7 linked regions of the Sus scrofa genome follow. The protein of the gene in region 3 purifies or fractionates together with the protein of the main gene of each other region. This does not show direct contact. Links are inferred from orthologs where the notes say so. Each region holds a gene or a part of one and is shown on either strand. Other genes may lie near its edges. The genes, in order: SRSF5, CDC5L, SRRM1, RBM25, SRSF4, EIF4A3 and SRSF6.

Region 1 (2,632 bases), on a different chromosome or scaffold from region 3:
AGATGGAGAACCTCTAGCAGTTTTCATTACTAAACTGTTTTTAACACAGACTGTCACATGTTTGTCTCAGGACTAAAAGACAAACATGGGACAGCCCCTTAGTGCATTCAAGGGCAATGATTTAAAAAAAAATTCATGTGATGTTTTCTGACCATCAAAATTATATTACAACCTTTAAGATACATGTTAACTTACAATTGCTCCCCAAATCATCCTTTTAGCTGAGAGCCTAAGTAATCTCAGGCCAATAAAGTCAGGTGATAAAAGGAGGTAAAACACACAAGGGAAACTGTCATAGACGGTTAGTCGTCATTGTTTTAAATAGCACACACTTCTTCGCCCATCTCTTCACTACCTTGGAAACATCAAAGGTACTATTTGAATTAAAAAAAAAAAAAAAAACACACATCACCTACTGCAGCAAGGGATTCTCTAGTGTCAAATGTGCATGGGGAAGGAGTGGGTAGCCACTTTACTTCCTTTAGACAAACAGACAAAAACAATTTTTAGAATCTTTTATTATCAATAACAAACAGCTGCCTTTAACGACTTTGCTAGGCAGCTGTTAAAGGGTGGATGGACACCCTTGACCCTAACAAGGAAAACTCAAATTAAGCCTTTATGTACAAGCAAATTTAGAGCTCTTTTAAGTGTCCAAAGCTATTAATTAGTCTTTAAACTAAATCTTAACATATTTGAATAACCAGGAACTAAAACGTTCAAATTTTTTCTAGTACAAAAAAATTAAATTTGCTTTAGTTATAAAAGAGCTCTGTGAATATACACAAACTATATATACTTCAGACATTCACAAAAATGTGAGCAGAAGGCTTATCAAAAGACATTTAATACAATTAAGTTTTCAACAACCCCTTGGTGGTCCACATCTACAAAGATAGCCAGCCCAGCCCAGCCCAACCCAACCCCCCTCCAAATCCCACCCCCACAGAAAAGCACATACTTACCAGAGTTTTTAGCAAGTATGGTTTGGGAATTTGTTTTTTGTTTTTGTTTTATAAAAAAAAAAGGCCCCCAGGGCAAGTTATTTACAGTTTAATTGCCACTGTCAACTGATCTGGACCTTGACCGGGACCGGGACCTGGACCTCTGGCGATCTACAGATGCTGGAGACTTAGATCTACTTGAAGAACCACGTTTCTGGCTCTTCTCAGGCACAGGAGACCTACTAACAGAACGGGACTTGCTCCGGCTCCGGCTCCGGCTCCTAGACCGGCTGTAAGACTTGCTCCTCCGGGAACGAGATCGGCTACGAGACCTTGAGGAACTCCTGGTCCGAGAACGAGACCTGCTTCGTGACCTACTAGGAAGGAAAAAAAATTAAAGAAAAACCAAAAAGCTTAAGTAACAGACCCTACAAATCCATTAAACTCCGACTTGAAAATATTAAAGAGGTACCTGTGCCTTTTGCTGCCTTCAATTAATTTGATTTTTCTCCCATTTATTTCTTTTCCAGAAAGTTTTTCAATAGCATTCTTTAAATCACCATAAGAGGCAAACTCAACTACCCTACAAAAAAAAAAAGCCATTTATAAAGTTATATACTTCTTGCAGTCTCATAAACTATGTAATCCATCTGGTTTAAGTATCTTTTCAATGTTCATCCTGCTACTGCTACACTGAGTCTTACCCTTGACAGATAACGCAGCATGAGAATGTGATTTCCCAACCACCAAACCACTGACCATTTTAAGCTAGATCATTCTTTGGTGTGGGAAGCTTTGCTGTGCATTGTATTTATTTAGTAACATCTGTGATTCTACCCAAAAGACCTTCAGGACCAGCAGGACCTTCAATTGGTTATGATAACCAAAATGTCTCCAGACATTGCCACATGTACCCCGAAGATCAAACTCAATCCCAATTGAGAATTGCTGCTGTATTCGAGCATGTCCAAATTTTGAGCACTCAAACATTGACAGTGAAAACTGTCCTATTAAGGATATTTTAATAGGCTCTTATACTCCAGTGCATACTCACCCTTCATTTAACTTAGGTCTATGTGCATCCGCAAATGTTACTTCCCCAGCTTGTCTCATGAAATCTTTGAGATCCTTAACATAAGACAATTTTGTTAAGCCAGGAAAAGGAATCGTGACACACAAACAACCACAAGGTATAAAAACAAGACTACTGAAAGAGAAGATGTTAGATAAAGTACAAACATGGTATTTACCACACTTGTATTCTATCAGAATTCAAAAATAATATGTCAGGGCACGAAATAAGCAAATAGCATATTGCTTTTAAGCAAAATGCCAGAGAATTCAGATTTTAACATTAAAATAGTATTAGTCTATACTGAGCTCAATACAAAAGGAAAAAACAAAACAAAACAAAAAAGAACAAAACAAAAAGAAACAGTACATATTTTTAAAGTAAAGACTAAAGCAGAAATTTTATATTTAAAAACAGAACATTAACAAGACACCAGTTATTTTGTGCCCCATATGTCATTAAAAAAGTTTACTTTACCTTTATTATTATTTCCCTAGGCTAGTCAAGCAGCAAACCATTAAGCGGTCGGAGAAACGTTCATGACATATGCCCGACTGGCTCTTCGCCACCCACTTGAAGGACACTACCCAATCGATGGAAGCCTTTAATCGCACAG
Region 2 (3,500 bases), on a different chromosome or scaffold from region 3:
CCAGCATAGTGGGTTAAGGATGTGGCACTGCCTCAGCTGCACTGTAAGTCTCAACTGTGGCTTGGATCTGAACCCCGGCAGGGAACTCCACATGCCATGGGGAGACAAAAAAAAAAAAAAAAACAGTGGAAGCTATGGTGAAAGGCAGTTGGGAAGAAACTGATAGATTCATTCACTGGTGATACTGGCTAAACTGCAGACCCACTAGTTTGCCAGAGAGACTCTTTCTCTTTTGAAAAGTGGGGGAAGCCCTTCCGGGGTCAGAACAAATATCAAACCTTCACCTCAGAAACAATCCCTTCAAAGGAGCCAATGAAGGGATCACTTTGTGGAGCAACTTATGCCCCAAGATATTGTTGAAAACAATACAGCAATAAGCTGACAATTAGCAGAGTTTAACAGCTGTGCATAGCCAAGGGGAAAGATGTCAAAGAAAGTCCTATCAAAACCACATCATCCCAAGTGACTGGTCACACCCAAGACCATCCCCACAAGGAGCAAGATCAGAGGATTCCCATTGTGGGAGGAGGGAAGGGGAGGACAGACTTCACTAAAATAACCCTGCTGGTCGCAAAACAAGTAAACTAGAAATAACACTAACCAAGAGGGGATGCGGGGGACACGTACACAGAATTCCTACGATGGAGCATCCAAAGCATCCAGTTCCCAAAAAAAAAAGGTAAGACATGCAAAGAAACAGCAGGAAAGTATGACCCACACACCAGAAAACAAGGAGGCAACACCTGAGAGCAACCAGATGTCAGATTTAACAGACAAGACTTCAAAGGGGCAGAAGTATGTTCAAAGAATAAAAGGAAGCCATGATTAAAGAAGGAAGGTAGGTTGAAAACATTCATTAAAAAGAGAAAATCGGTGAAAGATAGAAATGATTAAAAAGAACCAAATAGAAATTCTGGAGTTGAAGGTTATTCCTGCCTGAATTCCAAAGCTAATAAGCTCTTAGAAAGTTCAGGTTTTCTCTTTATCCACTTCACCTTGGTTTCTAGGCCATTAGGCATAATGTCAATCATAGATCTAATCAAAAGGAAGGGGAAAATGGAGACAACCTTGAGTCGAGGGCAAAATGTAACTCCACTCATTTTTTAAATAGAAATTTCTATGACAGCCTAAAATCCAGTTCAGGGCTCATTAACTCCCTCTGTGTTCAGCCGAGTTTCCTGTTTCACAGCTGGTGTCAGTGCCTGTCCAACACTAATCAAGGAGAGTAACTCCCTGGCAGTCGCGCCAAAGTCCCAGAGCCCTGTGTGTCCTCTAGGCATCTGAGGCCAAGAGGCTAGAACAAATGAAGCTATTTTATGCTAACAAAATTAATTAAACACACTGAGAGAGAGAGAGTGCCCATGCACGCGCGTGTACACCTGCACATAAATGCATGTCTGTATCTGGGCACTGCTTCTGCCACATTTTACAAAACTTTTTTAAAATACATATTGTTTCTATAACTATTCTGAAATGGTTAGGAGAAAATATTTAAGGCTTCCAAAGTAACAAAGACACTAAAGACTATTAGAAAACTGGAAGTGAACAATTCTACTTATCACTCACCTAATGAGGTTGATAAATCATGCAATTTTACTGAGCCTAAGGATACACAGCCTAATTGTTCAACTATGGATGGAAGCAACCATACCTTGCCTCTTCCAACTGTTTCTCTCGTGCTTTCCTCTTGGCTTTCTTTCCCTGAGTATTAGCCAGGCGGGCTCTAGCTTCAGAAAGCATCTCGAGTTCATCTGCAAAAATAAAGAGAAGAAAAACTAACTTCTCCAACAGAAGCAAAGTATGCAAGAGACAGAACCTAGGGCTTAAGATGAGAAAAATCATAAATATAATCCTTATAAGGTATAGCATAAAGGAAACAGTTTGGGTTTTGAAGTCAGAGAAACCTAAGTTAAAAACCAGGCCCACCACGTGCTAGTTATGTGACCCTAGATAATGTATTTACCCTCCCTGAGCATGTTTCACCATTTACAAGATGAGAATAAAAAATGCCTACTTCTGTTGCAACAGAAGAAAGAGTGGGGGAAAAACTGTAATTGCAATGTATACATGTAAAGATAACCTGACCCCCTTGCTGTACAGTGGGAAAAAAAAAAAAAAAGCCTACTTCATAAATAAATAAATAAATAACAAATGCCTACTTCATCAGGACGTTGAGAAAAAATAAGTAAAATGAAACAGGTATTCATCAAGCAAGAAGTCATTATAGTGGCCGTAATTATCATATCCTTCATTATCACCAACTACCTGGCACAAAACGAATTGTGAAAAACTGGAGTTCCCATGGCGGCACAGTGGTTAATGAATCTGACTAGGAACCATGAGGTTGCGGGTTCGATCCCTGCCCTTGCTCAGTGGGTTAACGATCCGGCGTTGCCATGAGCTGTGGTGTAGGTCGCAGACACGGCTTGGATCCTGCACTGCTGGGGCTCTGGCATAGGCTGGCAGCCTACAGCTGCGATTCGACCCCTAGCTGCCCCGGGAGCGGCCCAAAAAATGGCAAAAAGACAAAAAAAAAAAAAAAAAAAAAAAAAAAAAAAAAAAACCTGGAAAAACTACTATTTAATTATAAAGGAATTGATAATCTTCATTATCATTTTTCCTTCATTTTTCTCCCTCAAGACTATTGTTTTCCTCCACTACATTTTTCCATGGGTCCCCAAAGAATAATATATTTCATTACTGATACCTTAGGGTAATTTCTATATAAGGGTATCAATTGAAATCACAAGGGAATCTTAAAAAAAAAAAACCCTCAGATTTCAGGATTATCCTCGCTTCTTCCCAAGTTACTGATTCAGATCTCCTGAGGAGGCCCTGCCACCTCTATTTTTTAAAGTTTATCCTGTGACAATGACGCAACCAGCCTAACTACAATCTGCCTTTGGGAACCACTACCTTCAAACTTTTAAATTAAAAACTCAACAAATATTCACTGAATGCTTCACAATAGCCCTGTGAAGTAAGATAGATTATTACTCTCCATCTGACAGGAATGAGAATCAAAGTTCAGCAAGATTACATGACTTGCCTAAAAGTCAAACAGCTAATAAGCGGCACACACCGCACTAACTAGATTATAGTTCCTCTGACTCTTTTTTTTTTGGCCACACCCACAGCATGTGGCAGTTCCCCAGCCGGGGATCGAACCCGTGCCACAGCAGCGACCTGAGCTGCTATAGTGACATCAGATTCTTTTTTTTGTTTTGTTTTTTGTTTTTTCTAGGGCTGCACCCACGGCATATGGAGGTTCCCAAGCTAGGGGTCTAATGGGAGTTGTAGGCTGCCAGCCTGTGCCAGAGCCCCAGCAACACCAGATCCAAACGGTGTCTGCGATCTACACCACAGCTCACGGCAACGCCGGATCCTTGACCCTCTGAGAGAGGCCAGGGATGGAACCCGCAACCTCATGGTTCCTAGTTGGATTCGTTAACCACTGAGCCACGACAGGAACTCCGACACCAGATTCTTAACTCACTGCG
Region 3 (3,500 bases):
TGAAATTGAATTGCGTACAAACCAAATAAAATTTACATCATAACAAACATTTCCACCTAGGACTGTGGGGACACTTGAGCCTTCCGCATTGATCTCAGGGCCTTTTCGCGCAGGTGCTTTTCTAAGTCATCAAGGTTATCTTCGGCCTCACTTTCAGTCTCCTAAAAAAAACAGAAAAGTTGTATCATCAAACCTTGAGATACTGGTGGAAAATGCTGAGTACAGAGAAGAATAATACTGTCACGATGGCTGCACAACTCTATGGATATACTAAAAAGAAATCATTTAATTATATACTTTAAATGGGTGAATTATATGGTGTATTTATATTTAATTATCTCAAAGCTCTTTTTAGAAATATACATAAGGCCTTTTGTATTTCCCCCTCCCTTTCTAGGGCCATATCTGTGGCATATGTAGCAACTGCGGCTCAGATGTGATCCCTGGCCTAGGAACTTCCATATGCCACAGGCGCAGCCCCCCAAAAAAGAACAGGTATAACCTGCCTATCAGCAACCAAGCAATGGTTGATACAGATCAATATCTGACTTTTTTTTTTTTTTTTTTGGTCTTTTTGCCTTTTCTAGGGCCACTCCCGAAGCATATGGAGGTTCCCAGGCTAGGGATTGAATCGGAGCTGTAGCCACCGGCCTACACCAGAGCCACAGCAACGCGGGATCTGAGCCGCATCTGCAACCCACACCACAGCTCACGGCAACGCCGGATCCTTAACCCACTGAGCAAGGCCAGGGATCGAACCCACAACCTCATGGTTCCTAGTCGGATTCATTAACCACTGAGCCATGACAGGAACTCCCTGACATCTTATTTTTTGACGTTAGTTTGTAAACTCACTTTTCTCTGATAAAGACCAAAATTCTTTTTGTGGGGGAGGGGGGTGTCTTTAGGCCTGTGGCACATAGAAGTTCCCAGGCTAGGGGTCGAACTGGAGCTGCAGCAGCCAGCCTACAGCAACACCATATCCAGGCCATGTCTGTTACCTACATCACAGCTTGCAGCAAGGTCAGATCCTTAACCCAATGAGTGAGGCCAAGGATCAAACCCTTATCTTCATGAATATGAGTCAGGTTCTTAACTTGCTAAATGAACCACAATAGGAACTCCTGCCATTTTTATTCTTATCTGAAGCCTTAGCAAATTCTAGTTCTTGGCAGGTGGTCATGGAGAAATGAGTCAGAAGAGAACCGAACAGCTGGACATCCAATTACCAGAAAAAAATTACTGAGCTACTTCTCCAAACTGAATTAATTTAGCAATTTGTATAAAATTAAGACAGTATCCATAAGCACCTTCTTAGGCTCTGGCTCTGCCTCCGGTTCTTCCTGTGCTGATGTGGTTGTGGGAGCAGCAATGGCTGTAGGGGTCACAGCAGCTGCAGCGGCTGCAGCCACAGCCTTTTCCTTCTTGTGTTTTTTATGCTTCTTGTGCTTCTTATCCTTTTTATGTTTCTTATCCTTCTTTTTTTTCTTTTTCTTTCCACCTCCTTCTGGGTCTGAATTCTAGAAATCCCAGAAAAACAAAAGAAATACCATCAACATGATTAGAATTCCATCCAATTAAACATTTCATTTCCTCAGGGGAATAACCAACTGGACTAATCTCAGGATTTCATACTGCTTCACGGGGAAAGACAGCCCAGGGCTAACCTCCACTAAGAAAAGTATTCCTAAAGACGGGAACTATTGCTGAAATCAAAGACTTCTAAGAGTTGAAATGGACCTTGAAAGTAAATGATATTTAAAAAAATATCCTGAACTTACTTCACATTAAACCATGTCTCCTAACCACAAGGTAGCCCAAGTCTGACATGAGGCAGGGTCTAACCTCAGATGTAAAAGCACCATGTACAACAGAAGGAAGAAAACTCGACAAGGTCTCAGTTAAATTCTGATTTCTGAAGCTATTAAACTATTTGCCCTCAGATAAATTGCTTCACTTGTTCTGAGGCCTGTCAACCCAAAATAGCTATAATAATCCTTGACAGAGCTGTTATGAGAATTAAATAGGAATATATTTAAATTACCCATAATACCAGCACAACATGTAGGCTTTTAATAAGTAACTATTATCCTAAATACAAGGTTGTGTGAAAGCCACATCTCTAATCACCATCTGATCTATCTCTAGAATGCAGGTGGTTTATTCTTCATTATATATGTATTCCAAGTTCATGCAAAGGGTAGGCTCTGCTATAATTAAACCTAGCCTGTAATTTTTATCTTTTTTTTTTTTAATCTTTTTTTTTTTTGCTTTTTAGGGCTGCACCCACGGCATATGGAGGTTCCCAGGCTAGGGATCCAATCGGGGCTACAGCTACCAGCCTACACCACAGCCAAAGCAACCCAGGATGTGAGCTGCACCTGCGACCCACACCACAGCTCACAGCAATGCCAGATCCTTACTGAGCGAGGCCAGGGATCGAACCCGCAACCTCAAGGTTCCTAGTCGGATTTGTTTCCACTGCGCCACAACAGGAACCCCAGGTCTGTAATTTTTAAATCTCACATTTCTAAGCAATTACTTAAAATTCCTCAACCCTTTCAGTTAGTTTGCACAATAATTCAACCCTATTAAGATGAACAACTAACCATTGATTTTACACAATACATGGAACCTGCCATGATTAATGACTCACAAAGAAAGGAAAACAACTTAAGCTGATATTTTAATATCCCAATGATATTTAAACATGACAATGTAGAAACAAACATGTCATTCTTATTTACTTAGCTTGCCAAAGACTTACATGGGACAATAAAGTACTTCCCATTCCAGCTAGTATTTCATAAGCTGCAAGATTCTTTTTATGAAAGAAATAATTTATTTCCATGTTAGGAAAAATCAGAGCCTTAAAATGTGAAGAAGAAAAATTAAAATCACTCATCATTCTCCTAACATGTAACCACTGTTGGTATCCCTCTTGCGACATACCTTTCCTTTATAAAAAGGGTCTTCTTTTTTTTTTGGCTGCCCCACGACATATTAAGTTCCCAGGATCACATCTGAGCCACAGTTGTGACAACTGGCAATGCCAGATCTTTTAACCACTGTGCTGGGCCAGGAATTGAACCTTTGTCCTGGTGCTGCAGAGACACCGCCAATCTCACTGCATCACAGTGGGAACTCTGTCCTTTATAAAAATGGAATCATACTGATGGACATGATCTAAGATCAAAACTTACTGCCTGATCATAACTATCCTAAAACCTTTCAAACACCAGAGAAAACAGCAAAAATGCCAAGCTATTTTCTCCCAACATAATAGATTCATGGATATTTTTCCCTGTTTTTTTCCTAAATTTTCTACATAGTCCAATCTTGACCAACAAGATTATAGAATTTAATATAATAGGATTAGACATACTGCAAATTAATGGATGTCTAGAGTATTGAGCATGGACTATGAAATAACCACTACCACTTATTTTGTGCCTCCTTTTGAAGTCCATCGTGGCTCAGTGGGTTAAGGATCTGGCATT
Region 4 (3,500 bases), on a different chromosome or scaffold from region 3:
GAAATGAAGGACAAAACGTGCAAAATTAATATAAAAGCAATTTACACTACACCCCCCTCTCTTTCATGGGAATAGATTCTTCTTATCCATACCACTTGAACTTTATAATACTCATAAACTTTATACATTTACATGTAAATAAACATTAGATGTTTAAAAATCTTTAACCTTCAAAAGCAAGTCAGGAAGTTCCCGTTGTGGCTCAGTGGTAACAAACCCAACTAGCATCCAGGAGGATTTGGGTTCTATCCCTGGCCTCGCTCAGTGGGTTGAAGGATCTGGCATTGCCATGAGTTGTAGTGTAAGTCGAAGACTCAGCTTGGATCTGGTGTTGCTGTGGCTGTGGTGTAGGCTGACAGCTGCAGCTCCGACTGACCCCTAGTCTAGAAACTTCCCTATGTCTTGGGTGTGGCCCTCAAAAGACAAAATAAGAAAACAAAACAAAAAACCAGAAGCAAGTCAGATTTAGGACTTATCTGTGAAATGAAAGCCACATACAGTATGCTACAATAAATTTCCTCTCTGAATATGATTTTCAAAGTGCAATAATTATTTTCTAAGGAAACCTGAGCACACCAAGAATCACAACTCAATCTGTTAACTGGACCAAAATATTTTACAGTTCACTTACAGGTAGATGATGGTACAAGAAGTAGTTTTCATGAAATATAAGATTAAAATTATTTTTTTTTTCTTTTTAAGGCCACACCTGTGGCACATGGCAGTCCCTGGGCTGGGGTCGAATCCAAGCTGCAGCTGCCAGACTACACCACAGCCACAGCAACACAGGACCAGAGATTGAACCTGCATCCTAATGGATACTAGTTGAGTTCGTTAAGGCTGAGCCACAATGGGAACTTCAGGATTTAAAATTTAAATCACATTTATGCATCTAAAGGTAATGCCTACCTAGCTTTGAGTACACAAACCATGCAAGTACATGAATCTCTTACTCCTATTTTTGGAATTTTAAATACAATAATATATATATATATATACACAAAAAACAATTAGTAAAAATTTATAATCTACATCTCTGTTAACAACTATTACACCTACATACAAATACGTAGGTTTCTGACTTCATCTGACAGTGAAATATTAACACATTTCATCCAGATTAAATGTTACTTCTCTGTAAAGACTTTCCAATCTAACCACCTACTTTTGACCAAGTCCTTCCCCCAGACAAAATTAATCACTTTCCCTGTATTCCACTCCCAAAATACTGTGAACACACCTTCGTCATACTTTAAACACTCACACACACAATACAGTAACTACTTTATCTCTCTGATGATATTACCCACTTGTTTAAGTTTGAAGCATTATTTCTTCTTGTATACCCAGTACCTAGCACAAGGCTAGGATATAAGGTACATTCAAAATTTTTCAAACGCAAATAGACTGTCAGATAGCAATGACAATACCTAGAAATATCTAAATAAAACACAGGGAGGCCTACAAGGAACACACTAAAATAGTGACATAAGCTACCACTCATGAGAAATAGAGACTTTTACTTTTTACACCATATACTTCAGTTACCTGAATATTTTTTAATGAGCAAGTAACTGCTTTTTTAAATGGATTTTTTTTTAAAGCTCCTGAACAAAAAGTAACTATCAGGAATGTTTTTTTCTGGAAAGGTAGGTTTCAGGTTTGCTTGTAGGATGCAGAATAACTTCAAATCTATTAACACATGTTTTTGATGGGAAATATTTCTTCAAATAATTATGTCTCTTACTAGATAATTCTCTATTTCCTAGGTTTTAATAAGAAATTCTAGAATGGGAGCAACAATCTAGGGAAATCAAAATTACTTTAAAAAACTCTAGGAGCTCTGAAGATCTACTATCCAGAAAACCCATACTATCTATCTAGTTGCTGCATGCACCCTTTTGGTTACTTACAAAAATTCCCTCTATGTCTCATGTTCAAAAGCTATTTGAAGAAGATTCCTAACTTCAGTGAAGTTTTTGGAAGAATAATCTCCAAACTGGAGATAAAGAAACTTTCATGAAATTCTGGCAAAGATAGAACACATGGAACATACTACTGAAGCAAATACTGTGATAAAATATATCATCTTTTCGTCATTTTATTTAGTTAACAACCTATGCCAACTGCTTCACTGTACAGTTTGTCAAATAGTGTAAATGCAAAAAAAATACATTTTTATTATCATATAGTTAAAAGGAAGGATAACATAGTAATGTAAGGAAAAATAATAATTCATAAATGTTACACACTGAAGACAATTTTGACTTCTAAAAACTAAGGTCTTCTCATGACACTTTCCTTCACCCAAATGTACTGCACCAATACAGAATGATATCAAAGCCTCTTCAAAGTCAAAAATATTGTAGATTCTTAATCAAAGAATGTTCTGTAAGTTCTCATTTTAAATACTACTCTATGACTGATTTACTTTAACAGTATGCCAAAAGATAATTTAGCTTATAGGCAGCAAAAATGTGAAGAAAAAAAAAGGAGAGAAAAACATTTCGCTGTACTGAAATTCCCTCAAGTTTACTTGAAATTTATAAAAATTAAATTATCTATACTGAGAGATCATACCTTTAAATTATAAAGTTACTTCTAGTTAACCATAAAGATTGATCTGATTTTTATATCTGAAAAATCATTTACTTTTTAACCTAGAATATTACCATTTCTCTTCTTCTTTCTTCCTCTCTTTCAGCCTCTTTCTCATACTCCCGGGTTTTCTTTCGTTCTCTGATTTCCCAATTCTTAAGGCGCTAAAAAAGGAAATTGTCAAAGCTTTAAAGATGTCTACAAAAAAATTCTTTTTGACTAACCTATTAAGTACCAAGCTTTGAGAATATAAACAGTCCCTCTGTTTACCTCCTGATAAGCAGCTTCTTTTTCCCGGAGCTTTCTTTCAAGTTTCCTTCGTTCATATGCATCTTCTTCATCCTCTTCTCGGTCACGCTTCTTGTCTTTTTCTCTCTCACGCTCTCGTTCCCTTTCTCGCTCTCTCTCTCGTTCTCGTTCTCTTTCTCGTTCCCGTTCTCTCTCTCTCTCTCTTTCCCTCTCCCGTTCCCTTTCACGATCTCTGCTCTTTTCTCTACATAAACAAAAGATTTTAAAAAATCTATTAGTCTCCTTTGCGCTTTCTTTAAAAACCAAGAGAAAGGAGAACACATATTATGAAATAATATACAAACTCACAAGCCAGAATTTAGCATTTGTTTTCTGTAGAAGTATAGTAGAAGTCAGAAAGACAGAGAATTTAATTCTATCTCCACATTCTGAACTGCATTCTAAACTCAAAGTTTTTTCCCTCAATGCTTATCAGTGTCTGAGAAAAACACAAAAAACCTGGATAACATGTTGCAAGATAGTCTGCTTCATTAATAGTGATCAAGGAATAAAGATATTGCATAGGTTTAAAGCAAAAAGCCTTTCGGCTTGTTGCATGGATAAACTAGAACTACAGCTAACCCTTGAACAACAGAGGTTTGAACTGTGCAGGT
Region 5 (4,061 bases), about 3.7 Mb from region 3:
CCCTTGTTCAAAAGTCATCTTCCTCTTCAATAATGTCTGAATGCTGCTAGGAGGTGCACCTGTTTTGGTGACTGTCACACCTGCCTTCAAATCCCTAAAATGCCTTCCCATTCCTTATTCTCTTGACTTTCAATCACAGATTTCATGCATATCATGGTTTAGCAGCAGAACTGTAAAAATGAATCACTTCCCCAAGAGACCCACGTATTCAGGGTCCTGGAAGGATTGGTCCTTCCTCTTACATCACCATTTCTCAGGTTGCTCAATTACTCCCTCCAGAGCATCTGAACTCCTATCCATAATTTTGAATGTTTAGTGTAAAATCTTAAAAGTTACTTCTGATTTATGTTGTTCAGCTTCTAGGTCATTCATGAGACTCAATCCAAGCTGGACTGTTTTATTGTTTCTCAAAATTGTTCCTTATTCGACCATCACCAGTTATGACATACACTATTCCCAGACACTTCGCTTCAAGCCCCAGTCAAACTGTACTTCAAAGCCCATTTCAAACAAATCTTTTCAAACAAACTATTCTAAGTTCCACTTACTGAGTTTACACTGAGGGCAAGAATTTCTTAATTTAAAGTGTGTGTTATAAGCACTTAATTTACACAAGAGCAGAACTGTTTTTCTGCCTCCTCCCCAATTCATTTAGCACAATAGCAGGCACATTCGTTAGCAACACAGATGATCCATTAATTACTTTTCCCATTAACATCAACAATCATTTCCTAAGTAACCTTAGAAAACAGACTTCAATCATTACCTGAGGAACCTTAGAAAACAGACTTCACCAAATATGCTTCACACTATTAAACACTCAACAAGCTAAGATGTGTCTCCTTATGATCATGGTCAAATCCCTTTGATTATAGCTACCATTTACAGCAATGAGCCAAATGCTTTACAATTATTACCTCTAATCTTCCTTTTCCTTGTGGATGAGGAAACTCAGAATCAGAGAAATAACTGGCCCACAGATAGTAAGTGGTGAAGCTAAGATTTGACCCAGGCCTGCCTGATTTCAAAACCTAAGCTTTCCTTACCAAATTTAATTATCCCGACAACTTAATTGGGCTCTAAAGAAAATCTGTAAGTTTAAACTCCATTCTCGATCATTCAGATATATGATACATATCACAATAACAACCTCCGGCCCACTTTATCTAGTATAAGAACTGAAACAAGTAATTTCCGTACAAAACAAGTAATTTCCGAAGACTTCTACTCTAAAAGAAATCAGTATTCATAATAAACACTTGATGACACTTTCCTTAGCAAGAAGGTGATTCTGCCTAACAATTAATTTGAAATAACTTTTTAAACCTAGGCAACAGTTTGAGTATACTGTAGCTTCCAGTTTTTTTCAAATGTGCAACTCAGGTATTTTTCTTAACTTCTCAAATGTTAGTTGCTAGCATTACATTGGGAGTAAACTGTACCCATAACAAACTTGTTGCAAAGCAGGTCTTAAAAAAAAAAAAAAAAAAAAAGCCAGAGTTCCTCTTAACACCCAAGGTTTAGTACACTAAAATGTCCCCCTTACTCCTTTTATTTTTGTATATCCATGCCTTTGTATACCCGCTAACATTTTCTGGTTCTCACAGTTTCCCCTTGTTGATTATCTTCTCCAGGCCTGACTCCTAATCTGTTTTCCCAGAAACTTGTAGCCCCTGTGGGCCCTGCTCTACCAAAGTCAATTAGGAATACAAGCAACAGAACACACCCGGATAGGTAGCAAGTTAGCAGTTTCAAGCTGTAAGTCTCCGTTTACATCAACTAGTTAACTAGTTACCGGGGCCATTATTCTCTAACAAATTCTACAAAGACAAAGCAATTTTTTTGCCAAGTTAGAGAACGGAAACCACAGCATGGAAACTTCGTACGCAGTCTTAAAGATAGCATGCTAAGACTCTAATTTATCCTTGTAGAGGGAACGGTGAAGGCTTTCGGCACCACACACGCCGATACTTTCGAAACTGTCACTAGACTACTCAAACCAGAGTCTCCCGCTCAAAAAAGTGTAGCACAGGGCAAGTCTAAAAAGGGTGTCCCTTCAGAGCTCCCGTCCCTGGGAGAAATGCGCTGTGATCATCTGATCCATTAAACTGGGTAAGAAATGAAAAGGGAGCAGGAAATCTGTTTATTTCCAGCAGCCCTTAGAGCGGGAAAGGTCTGTCTCTACCGGAGATCGACCAGGCCCTGGGAAGGAAAAAGCCAGGCCTCCCCAGCTGTCCTGGAGCTGTGCCCTCCCGCCCGGAGTCCCAATCCCACTCGGGTTTTCCTTTTCCCCGTCCCACTCAGAGCCTCACCATCGCTCCCATTATCCCTCCACCACCCCCACCCGCGCAGGCGCAGTGGGAACCGGGGCCTACCCGCGCCCCCGAGGCGCCGCGACTATGGCGGAGCGGGAGCAGGCCGGTAGGCGCTCTGCGCGGGGTAGGCGTCCCTCTCCCGTCACCGAGGCCTCCCCGCCACCGCCAGGGTCCCATCCCCACCCAGCCAGCCCCTCCTCCGCCCTCCTCACCCGTTCTTCAGATCCACCTCTAGGATCTTCCCGTAGCCCTTAAAGAAGCGCTCCACATCGCGCTCCCGGGCCTGATAGCTCAGGCGGCCGATGTACACCCGCGGCATCCCGGCAACTGCGGCGGCGGCTTGGCCCGGCCCCAGCCCCTTAGGCGGCGGCCGGCGAAGCGAGAGCGCGGCGACGGCGGCGGCAACGGGCGGGCGGCGGGACGGACGCAGCCGAACCCGGCGACGTACGCGAGCACGCAGCTCGCGAGCACGCGCCTCCCCCGCCCGCCCGCGGAGAGTAACGGGGGGGGGAACGCGCCTTCTTCCCGCCCTGCCGGAGGTGGAGGCGGGGCCTGTCCGGAGGCGCGCCGGCGCAGGGCGGGACCAGGTGATCGACAGGCGGCGCGGGGGTACATCCTCTCGCGAGCTTGGCGCGAGGGGCCTGCGCCGCTTGGCGCAGCCCGCGGGCTTCGCCCCTCCCCCGGAAGTGTCCACGTCCCCCTCCTTCCAGCCCTGAGAGCATTGCTGCTTTTGTCCCTTGAACCCGGAGCTGTATCGACTCTAGAGCAGATTTGGAATTAAACCTGGCTTCTAATTGTCTGTGACCTTGAGCTCATTACGCGCCTTTCGGCTTCGTCTTCTCTGTAAAAGGGGGATTAGTAATTCCAGCCTTCCAGAGTTGTTCCTAGCACCTCGTAAGTGCCCAATAAATAATAGCAATATTATTTTAAAAATAGGACAGTTTGCTTCAGTGGAAGCAGTGTGCAAAGTAGAGACTAGAACTTTGGAGCTAGATTAGGCTTGTCACTGGCTAAATTATTAAATTACCAATTTAATCTATTTTCTGACTTGTAAAATTAGAATAATTTATCCCATCTCAGTGGACTACCAGGGTAACTAAGAGAGTATGTGGAAGGGCTTCAGTATCTGGGACGTGGTAGGAGCTCAGTAAATATTGGTTCCCTTCTCTCCTACCCAGTTTATCTAGAATCACAAAGGAGTTTTGTTTCTTTGCTGTTTTTATTTACTTCAGAAATTATATTTTGAAAGGTAATTCATTAACTGGTTCAAATGATATACAGTGAAAAGTCTTCCCATCTCTGTCCTCTGGCAGCCTAGTTCCCCACCCTCCACTCCCTGAGAGGCCCACACAATATAATCAATTTCGTAAATGTTCTTTGAGGTATTTTACACATGTAAAGCAACTTGTGGTGTACCACACGTATGGTTCTGCATTTAATATAATTTGAAACTCATTCTGTAAGAGTACAAAAGGAGCTTCCTCAGGATTATTTTTATGGTTTATAATATGCCATTTTATACACTGATTTGTGTAATCAGTGCCTAGGAAAGGACATTGAAATAGATTCAAACCTTTGGTTATAACTGCTTCAGTGAGTAGTTTTGTATACATATATATATGTAGGATCTATTCCTAGAGATAAGATAGTTGGATCAAAGGGTGTGGGAGGGCAGTTTTGATAGATTTGCTCGATTTTCCATAAGTATCTGTTTCTCCATCTCATCATCACATTATCAAACATCAA
Region 6 (4,252 bases), on a different chromosome or scaffold from region 3:
GTTGCTGTGAGCTGTGGTGTAGGTTGCAGAAGCTTGGATCCCAAATTGCTGTGGCTACTATAGGCAGGCAGCTGTAGTTCCGATTTGACCCCTAGCCTAGGAACTTCCATATGCTGCAGGTGTGGCCCTTTAAAGAAAAAAAAATTCAAGCTGCAGCTGTGACCAACTGTGGCAACCTGGGATACTTTAATCCACTGCACAGGCTGGGGACTGAACCCATGCCCTCCGCAGCAACTTACTCTGTGCCACAGCTGGAACTCTAAGGTTTGAGTAATACTGGCATTTTTTTTTTTCTTGCTTCTTAGGGTCACACATGCAGCATACGGAAAATCTCAGGCTAGAGGTCAAATTGGAGCTATAGCTGGCGGCCTACACCACAGCCACAGCTGTGCCAGCTCTGAGCCACATCTGCAACCTACACCACAGCTCACGGCAACGCCAGATCCTTAACTCACTGAGCAAGACCAGGGATCGAACCGTGTCCTCATGGATGCTAGTCAGGTTCTTAACCCACTGAGCCACAAGGGGAACTTCCCATACTAGCATCCTTATCAGGCACGTTTATCAGGTCAATTTTCTTGCAGAGTCTGGACATATTCTAAGGTCTGGGCCAGAGCTTCAGGAAAAGACCTCATTTACTTGTTTGCTGTCAACAAACTGCAAACCTCTGCACTCTTATGCCTGATTTTAATGGATAATATGATCACCCAGTTTTCACTGAATTAACCTTCACAACAGGAAAGCGTTTAAGCACTCCTGGAAAGAGGCTGTGAATTAAAGATATGCCCAGGATGGGAGCCAAGCAAACAATGAGAAAGGACGGAGCTGGCACTTGGGCAAGTACAAGTTTCACAAAGTTATCGCTGTTCTCACACAACACAGATGAACGTCCGTCAAGTGATGAAATCGGTTCAGAGGCCAGTTTTGCGGTACTTGATTTTAGAGGCACTTGAAGTTTTAGAGAAGCATGGCCCACGGGGCCATGTTTACACGGGATAATGAGCGCAGGCAGGGACCAGCACCCGGGTGCCTCCTCCCGGCAGGGGCGCCCTGGCGCACGCCGCAGCTCGTCTGCAGGAGTTCCAGTTCTACCCTGCCGCGCTGAGGAACCGGTAATGCGGCCAGGTAACCGGTAACCCTCCGCGCAACAGCCCAGCCCAGAGCCCAAGCCGAGGGACCCGGGCGAACCCCGGCGCCTACCTTACGCGGGTGCGGGGAGGGGCGGGGTGTGGCCAGGGGCGGGGCCCGCGGATCCCGCGGAACCCCTCCCCCTCGAGAGCTGCGGCACCGCCCCTTTCCCCTTTCACGTGACCAGGAGCTCCCCGCCCCTTCCGAGCGCGGCTCCGACGCACGCTCCTACGCAGGCACGCGCGCGCGATGCCGTCAGTTCCTGGCGGCGGCGACGGCGCGGCGCTCTACTTCCGCTTCCCGGTGCGGCGCGCAGTCGGTTCTCAGCCCGCTCGGCATCATGGCGGCCACGGCCACGATGGCGACCTCAGGCTCGGCGCGGAAGCGGCTGCTGAAAGAGGAAGACATGACCAAAGTGGAATTCGAGACCAGCGAGGAGGTGGACGTGACTCCCACGTTCGACACTATGGGCCTGCGGGAGGACCTGCTGCGCGGCATCTATGCCTACGGTCGGTGGGCGCGGGGCGCGGGCTGCGAGCGCCCGCCGGAGAGCATGGGCCCGGCCGAGGGCTGGGTCCCGAGACTGGGAGTGTGGCGGTCCTGAAGGTCGGGGATCCGGGTTGGGGCCGAGCCCGGGGTGGGTCACGGGTGACCCCTTCCCTCACCACGCGTATCCACCCCCATCTGTGCCGGCGGGTTCGGGTGTTGTCCTCCCGGCAGCGCGCCCTGCTGGGACCCAAGAGGGCTGCAGGGTCCTTTGGGCACTTGGGAGTCATTCATTCAGCGGATAACTGTCTTGTATCGGCCAGGTGCGCGGCTCTAGGTACTCGGGGCTTAGTAGGGAACCAGACAGGTTCGTGCCCTTAGTTAAGTTAGCTTAAGCCTTAGTTTAAGTTACATTTGGGAGGAGGACTGTATAATCGATGGTAATGGCTACGGAGAAAATTAAGCGGGATAATTGGTTCAAGCTGCGCGGAGGAGAGAGTTAAACTAGTAGAGCAAATAGGCAAGGTGGCTGCCAGTAGGGCCTGGCATTTGAACTGAGACTCAGCTAAGGAGCCCGTTATGAGAAGGTTATGTTAGAATTGGGCAGAGGGGGCAGCTGGTGCCAGGTCCTGCAGCCCGGAGCCGGGGACATTCCAGGAACAGAATCTCCTGTCCTCCCTGTGGGGAGGGAGGAGGGGGCCACATCTTGAAGAGTGAAGTCTGGGGTGATAAAGAGAGTGCATTTTATTTCTGAGTGCAGTGGGGGAGGCCATTGGAGGGTCTCATGCAAGGAAGCGACAGGACCATATTTAGTTAGAAGTGAATTGGGGTGTCTGATGTGGGTGGAGGTGAGGCGGGAGAGCAAGCAGGGAGATGCTAGGAGGCTTTTTGTTCCAGTCCGGGGGAGAGATGATGGTTTTCTGGTGGAGATGGATGTAAGCAGCAGAGGAAAATCCTAGGTGTGTGGCTGATGGGACCGGTGATGCTGCCCTCTGCTCAGGCAGGGAGTAATGGTGGGAGCACTTCTTGAATGAGGGGAGCTTGAGGGACCTGTGAGCCATCAGTTGTCCTAGCTGGGAGCCTCGGAAGAGGCGGGGTTGGGGCTACTCTCCGGAATGAGCAGCATCCGTGCTTAATGCCTGGGACTGGGGCATCTTTTTTATCCAGCAGTCCTTGAGTCAGGACAGTTTAGTGCAGAGAAGGTGCTGAGGGAACGGGAGGTGAACTATAGCAACTAAGCCTTGTAGTGAGGCTCACAGCCCACCTGCCTCTTGGGATCTAGGGCCTCCCTTCCCTGAAACACCTGCTGCGTCATCATGAGGGGTTTAAATCACATTAGATTGGCTTTTGTGTTAAGTGGGAAGTTTACTACATTTTAAAAGACTATGAGAATTATTTCATGTCCATTATTTGTACATGAAGTTTTGTTTACTCAGACAGTAGAGGGGTTGCAGTTCACGCAGCCGCATCCAGGGCAGGAGGGCATCCAGGGCGGGAGGCGTAGGTGACATTCGTTTTTAGATGATGTCACCTACCCAAAGACTTACTGCTGATAGGGAGTAGTGACTGACTGTGATGGGTTATTTAATTTAACAAGTGATGCCAAAACACCCCCAACAATGCAGGTTATTGTAATGAAGTCAAACAATGCAGTAGTAATGGAAGTAAGATGTGAGCTTCCCTCCCCCTGTTCTCCAGCAGTAACCACCTGTTAACTTTTTTTTTTTTTAAACCTAACTAGGGTCTCTGTTTGCAACAATGTTCCTCAGAGATTTTGTCTGTATAAATAAGATCATATGTTACTATAAAGAAAATCCACTGGAGTTCCCTTGCTCAGTGGTTAACAAACTCGACTAGTATCCATGAAATTGTGGGTTCAGTCCCTGGCCTGGCTCAGTGGATTAAGGATCCGGCGTTTCGGGAGCTGTGGTGGAGGTTGCAGACGTGGCTCAGATCCCAAGTTGCTGTGGCTGTGGCTCAGGCCAGCAGCCACAGCTCCCGTTCGACCCTTAGCCTGGGAACCTCCATATGCTGCAGGTGTGGCCCTAAAAAAAAAAATCCACAAAAGTCCACAAATCCTGCTTTGTTCAACAGCTGTTTTTTGAGAGCTCAGTATGTTGGACATTGCATCAGGAGGGTTTTTTTTTTTTTTAAAAAACATACCATCCTTGGAGTTCCTTCTGTGGTGCAACGGGATCAGTGGCATATCTGCAGCACCAGGATGTAGGTTCAGTCCCTGCCTGGCACAGTGGGTGAAAGTAACTGGTGTTGCCACAGCGGTGGTGTAGGTCACAGCTGTGGCTCAGATTTGATCACATACCCACGAACTCCATATGCCGAGGGGCAGCCGAAAGAGAAAGGAAGAAAGAGAGCCCATCCTTGCCCTCGAGGAGCCCCAGCGTCTGGTTGTAAGCATGCTGTCCTAGCGGTTAGAACTAATTGTTTTCTGCTCTAATTTACAGGTTTTGAAAAGCCTTCGGCAATCCAGCAGCGAGCTATTAAGCAGATCATCAAGGGGAGAGATGTCATTGCACAGTGAGTCTGCGGGAGCCGGGCCCGGGCCGGGCTGCTCAGCACAGCAGCGCCTTTGCGCTTCTCCTTCCGTCGCCGTGACCAGCCCTGGCCTTGCATTCAGCCA
Region 7 (4,110 bases), on a different chromosome or scaffold from region 3:
CTCCCCCCGTCGTCACAACTGTCAGACCCCCTGACTTTGCCAAATGTCCCCCGGGGGGCAAAACTGCCACCTTCCAACTAGAAGCTGTAGAGTGCAAGGCTGCCTTGCTCCCGAAGCGCTGGAATATACAGAAATACGTACACAGCCAGTATTATCGCGGCAACGCCCTTTCCCCTCAGCTAGTGTGACACAACGCCCTCGGGCTCTTTTCTCCACCTCTCCAGGCACTCCTTCCCCTTACTTAAGTTCCAAGACGACGCCAGGGTCTTCTGCTCTCCACTTAAACTTTACTCCTGGTTTTCATCTAATTCGCCAGCTTTAACTGGCAACTCTAGTGGTAAACTCCAAAATGTGCGTGTTTTTGCGGTATAGATAATGGGAAGGGATCGCGTTGGGACTACGGCCTCTCCACACGGGGGAGAAAATGAGCGTACCTCTGTGGGAAGGTTGCCAGGTCTTGCTCAACTTTCTGGGCCGGAGGCCTTGGCCCGCCTCCCTTTTCCAGCACCCGCAGCGAGCCGGGGGGGTTGCCATGCACACCTCAATCTACAGGTGACTCCAGGTGACGGTGCTCCAAGAAAGACCCCCTGGAAGGACAGGTGGCCGTAAAAGGAGGCGGTGAAGTGGGACCACGAGGGATAGAAGCCAGCAGTACCGTGCGCTCCCGACCGCGTCACCACGACCTCAGAGCGCTAACTTCGGATTCTGTGGAAATAGGCAGCTAACCGTGTGGAGAACGCCTTCTACACTAGGCAGAGCGCAAGCTGAGCGATCCATAGGGGAAATTTGCAGCCTCGTTCCCAAAACCAATCAGAGACCAGGGAGGCCTATAGTGACAACCTCGATAACCAATGAAAAGAGGGATTTTCCTAGCCGGCCTCCCAAGCGCGAGTCCCGGAGAGAACTCACAGAGGAAGTTTTTTTTAAGGTACAGATTAGAAAACAAGTCCTTGACTGGACGACGGGATACGACGTCTACAAAGATGTGTGGAGAAAGTTCGGTGAGCGAATAGAACCGCACTTCCCTGAAACTTGGAGCGCGGAGGTCCCGCAAGTCACTCTCGCGCTCCGCGCTTCAGCGCGGGAGGGTACGTGCTGCGCGTTGACGTCACGCGCCGGGCCCCGCCCCTGGCCGCTCGCCCTTATAGCGTAGCCCAGGCGCGCGCGCACCATTGTGTGGCTGGACTCGGCCGCCACTGCGGTGTGAGGCGCGTGTCCGGGCTTTTGCCGTCCCCGCACCCGCACCGCGGCTTCTGCCTTGCGGTTCGTCGTTCGACAGCCAGCCCTCGGGCCCCTCGCCCGCCACGGACATGCCGCGCGTCTACATAGGACGCCTGAGCTACAACGTCCGGGAGAAGGACATCCAGCGCTTTTTCAGCGGCTATGGCCGCCTTCTCGAAATTGACCTTAAAAATGGGTGAGTCGGAGGCTGGGCGCCCGCGTCCGCCCGCAGCGCCGCGGGCCTACGGCGGCAGGGCCCATCGGAGGGAGGAGACGGCCAAGGCCGCGGTGCCGCGTGGCAGGGCCGCCAAGATGGCGGCCGCGCGGGGCCGCGGGAGCGCGCGAGGAGCGGGAGCAGCGCGCGTGCGCGCCCCCGGCCTAACGACGTCCGCCGGTCTCCGGCCCTCGCGCCGCCCTCAGGTACGGCTTCGTGGAGTTCGAGGACTCCCGCGACGCCGACGACGCCGTTTACGAGCTGAACGGCAAGGAGCTCTGCGGCGAGCGCGTGATCGTGGAGCACGCCCGGGGCCCGCGCCGCGATCGCGACGGCTACAGCTACGGAAGCCGCAGTGAGTCCCACCCCCGCGCGCTCCGTGTCCTTGGGACCCCGGGGGCGGGTGCAGGCTTAGGGGGGCGGGGTGGGGCCTCCCAGCCGGGCAGGCGCGTTGGCCCGGGTCGCTTGACTCGGGTGTCCCCGGGGCCCGCTGCCTTCACGCCTGCCCGGGAAAGCCACGGGACGCCGGAGCGCGGGGATTGGGTGGTGGGTTTTGCCTAGCGGGAGTTTGTGTGTTTGGGGGCGGGAGTTGCTTAGTCGGGAGGGGGTAACGTGTGCTGGGCCCCTGTCAGCACTGTCGTGGGCTCTGCCTACGGAGGAAGCGAGGGTTGGCTGTACTTGTATCTCCCTCGCTTACCTGTCAGTGCATTAGGTAGAAATGTGAATGATTTAGCATGGAGGTTTGGGGACAGGCTGGGGTGGAGGTGGGGTTGGGGGCGGGGGAAGGGGTGGAGTTTGAAGCTTAGGACTTAAAGTTATTAAAATTGGCAGGGGCCAAAGAAAATGTTATTTTGACGTAATGTGGTATTGTACCACAAAGTAGATCTAAATGAGCTTTATGCTATATTTGAACTAGTTGGGGCATGTTATGGGGAGGAGGTGGGGGGATTTTGGTTATGTTAAATGTTTGATGTTGAAATTGTTGCATGTTGAATTCAAACTTTTTAACAAGTCCTTGATGTTTCAATTTGAAAGTGACCAATGGGGCTGAGGCTGTGTCCACTGAGGCTAAGATGACTGCCTTTCCTGATTGGCCTTGGCTTTTCCATACATTGTGTGACCCTTGCCCTATGACCCTTTGGCTGACCTTACCGGAAGCCATGACGACAGCAGCCTTTTGCCATTAGACGCAGGGTGATGGTGAGGATTCCGAGGGTTAGACAAAACTGGTTAATCTGAACTAGGTGACTGTTACCTTGCGTGTTTTGTGGCCAAACCACCACCAAAAACCTCACACTGTGATGTAAGTACTTAGTGTAACTAGTAAACATTTTTGTAAAATGTAGAAATGCATGTAATCAGTTAAGTTTTATATTTTACAATGTTCTGTAAAATAAAACTTAGCGAGGTAAATTGAATAAAGGAGCAGTCACTCTCTAACAGATTGTAGGAGAAGTTTAGTTGGATTTAGTCTATTTGACTTGCCCTTAATTTAATTTATGGCAAATCACAACTGTATCGAAGGTTTAGCAATATAATAGCAAAGTCCTACTCCAGTAAATAAAAGTTAATATGTTTGTACTAACTTTCAAAAACTATGCATCCCTATCATTACAAAACACCTAATTGTTCTCTTCATGTGATAAAGGTGGTGGAGGTGGATACAGCAGTCGGAGAACCTCTGGCAGAGACAAATACGGACCACCTGTACGCACAGAATTCAGGCTTATTGTAGAAAATCTTTCTAGTCGTTGCAGTTGGCAGGATTTAAAGGTAAGTGCTATAACTTAAAGGTGGTATGACTAATGTTTAGAAGGTAGGCTTTTGTATTGCTCTTTCATTTCTGAGAATCAAATATAGCACATAGATCTTTTTTCCTTTAGATTTCTGAGTCTGACCGGTCTTACTGCTCTTTTAGGATTTCATGAGGCAAGCAGGTGAAGTAACCTATGCGGATGCTCACAAAGAACGCACAAACGAAGGCGTCATTGAGTTTCGCTCCTACTCTGACATGAAGCGTGCTTTAGATAAGCTGGATGGTACAGAAATCAATGGGAGAAATATCAGACTCATTGAAGATAAACCGCGAACAAGCCATAGGCGGTCTTACTCTGGAAGCAGATCAAGGTAACTTGTTGAAGGGTATGGAGGGGGGGAATATTAGTTTCTTTTGGTACACCGTATTGGAAGTTGTACAAATATTCATGTCGAGATGTCTTGGGATGAAGATTTATCCTATTTCCTGTTACATGTAGGTCACGATCTAGAAGAAGGTCACGAAGTAGGAGTCGTAGGAGTAGCCGCAGTAGATCTCGAAGTATCTCGAAAAGTCGCTCCCGGTAAATGTGTCCTTGAGTGTTTTTCTGAATAACATACTTTGTTTCATAGAGCACTTGGGTGTCCTGGCGAGATATTGAGCAATCTGGCTTTTCTTGTCTAGATCCAGGTCTCGGAGCAAAGGTCGATCACGTTCCCGTTCAAAGGGCAGAAAATCTAGATCAAAAAGCAAGTCTAAGGCCAAGTCTGATCGGGGATCCCGTTCACGCTCTCGAAGCAGATCAAAGGATGAGTATGAGAAATCTCGAAGCAGGTCTCGTTCTCGATCTCGTTCCCCCAAAGAAAATGGAAAAGGTGATGTAAAGTCAAAATCTAGATCAAGGAGCCAGTCTCGTTCC

The links.
Region 1: the proteins of SRRM1 (region 3) and SRSF5 purify together in Homo sapiens (affinity purification with western blotting; 3 studies listed by BioGRID and IntAct, with this or other methods). This does not show direct contact. The link is inferred for Sus scrofa from reciprocal best matches to the Homo sapiens genes SRRM1 and SRSF5.
Region 2: the proteins of SRRM1 (region 3) and CDC5L purify together in Homo sapiens (affinity purification with mass spectrometry; 4 studies listed by BioGRID and IntAct, with this or other methods). This does not show direct contact. The link is inferred for Sus scrofa from reciprocal best matches to the Homo sapiens genes SRRM1 and CDC5L.
Region 4: the proteins of SRRM1 (region 3) and RBM25 fractionate together in Homo sapiens (co-fractionation; 3 studies listed by BioGRID, with this or other methods). This does not show direct contact. The link is inferred for Sus scrofa from reciprocal best matches to the Homo sapiens genes SRRM1 and RBM25.
Region 5: the proteins of SRRM1 (region 3) and SRSF4 purify together in Homo sapiens (affinity purification with western blotting; 3 studies listed by BioGRID and IntAct, with this or other methods). This does not show direct contact. The link is inferred for Sus scrofa from reciprocal best matches to the Homo sapiens genes SRRM1 and SRSF4.
Region 6: the proteins of SRRM1 (region 3) and EIF4A3 purify together in Homo sapiens (affinity purification with mass spectrometry; 3 studies listed by BioGRID and IntAct, with this or other methods). This does not show direct contact. The link is inferred for Sus scrofa from reciprocal best matches to the Homo sapiens genes SRRM1 and EIF4A3.
Region 7: the proteins of SRRM1 (region 3) and SRSF6 purify together in Homo sapiens (affinity purification with western blotting; 3 studies listed by BioGRID and IntAct, with this or other methods). This does not show direct contact. The link is inferred for Sus scrofa from reciprocal best matches to the Homo sapiens genes SRRM1 and SRSF6.

Annotation. Positions count from the first base shown.
Region 1 is NC_010449.5:93,396,379-93,399,010, reverse strand, and holds the end of SRSF5 (serine/arginine-rich splicing factor 5), read right to left. Parts: exon of another isoform or gene 2,073-2,632; coding exon 1,999-2,072; intron 1,528-1,998; coding exon 1,417-1,527; intron 1,322-1,416; coding exon 1,054-1,321; 3' UTR 501-1,053; downstream 1-500. UniProt on the Homo sapiens protein: Plays a role in constitutive splicing and can modulate the selection of alternative splice sites.
Region 2 is NC_010449.5:39,390,897-39,394,396, reverse strand, and holds part of CDC5L (cell division cycle 5-like protein), read right to left. Parts: intron 1,752-3,500; coding exon 1,652-1,751; intron 1-1,651.
Region 3 is NC_010448.4:82,340,192-82,343,691, reverse strand, and holds part of SRRM1 (serine/arginine repetitive matrix protein 1), read right to left. Parts: intron 1,521-3,500; coding exon 1,311-1,520; intron 162-1,310; coding exon 57-161; 3' UTR 1-56. UniProt on the Homo sapiens protein: Part of pre- and post-splicing multiprotein mRNP complexes. As a component of the minor spliceosome, involved in the splicing of U12-type introns in pre-mRNAs. Involved in numerous pre-mRNA processing events.
Region 4 is NC_010449.5:96,451,650-96,455,149, reverse strand, and holds part of RBM25 (RNA-binding protein 25), read right to left. Parts: intron 3,092-3,500; coding exon 2,869-3,091; intron 2,763-2,868; coding exon 2,673-2,762; intron 1-2,672. UniProt on the Homo sapiens protein: RNA-binding protein that acts as a regulator of alternative pre-mRNA splicing. Involved in apoptotic cell death through the regulation of the apoptotic factor BCL2L1 isoform expression.
Region 5 is NC_010448.4:86,089,970-86,094,030, forward strand, and holds the start of SRSF4 (serine/arginine-rich splicing factor 4), read right to left. Parts: upstream 2,801-4,061; 5' UTR 2,635-2,800; coding exon of another isoform or gene 2,528-2,634; intron 1-2,527. UniProt on the Homo sapiens protein: Plays a role in alternative splice site selection during pre-mRNA splicing. Represses the splicing of MAPT/Tau exon 10.
Region 6 is NC_010454.4:2,284,227-2,288,478, forward strand, and holds the start of EIF4A3 (eukaryotic initiation factor 4A-III), read left to right. Parts: upstream 1-1,452; 5' UTR 1,453-1,468; coding exon 1,469-1,637; intron 1,638-4,076; coding exon 4,077-4,149; intron 4,150-4,252. UniProt on the Homo sapiens protein: ATP-dependent RNA helicase. Involved in pre-mRNA splicing as component of the spliceosome. Core component of the splicing-dependent multiprotein exon junction complex (EJC) deposited at splice junctions on mRNAs.
Region 7 is NC_010459.5:46,118,302-46,122,411, forward strand, and holds the start of SRSF6 (serine/arginine-rich splicing factor 6), read left to right. Parts: upstream 1-1,310; coding exon 1,311-1,417; intron 1,418-1,641; coding exon 1,642-1,790; intron 1,791-3,083; coding exon 3,084-3,208; intron 3,209-3,353; coding exon 3,354-3,562; intron 3,563-3,690; coding exon 3,691-3,774; intron 3,775-3,875; coding exon 3,876-4,110. UniProt on the Homo sapiens protein: Plays a role in constitutive splicing and modulates the selection of alternative splice sites. Plays a role in the alternative splicing of MAPT/Tau exon 10. Binds to alternative exons of TNC pre-mRNA and promotes the expression of alternatively spliced TNC.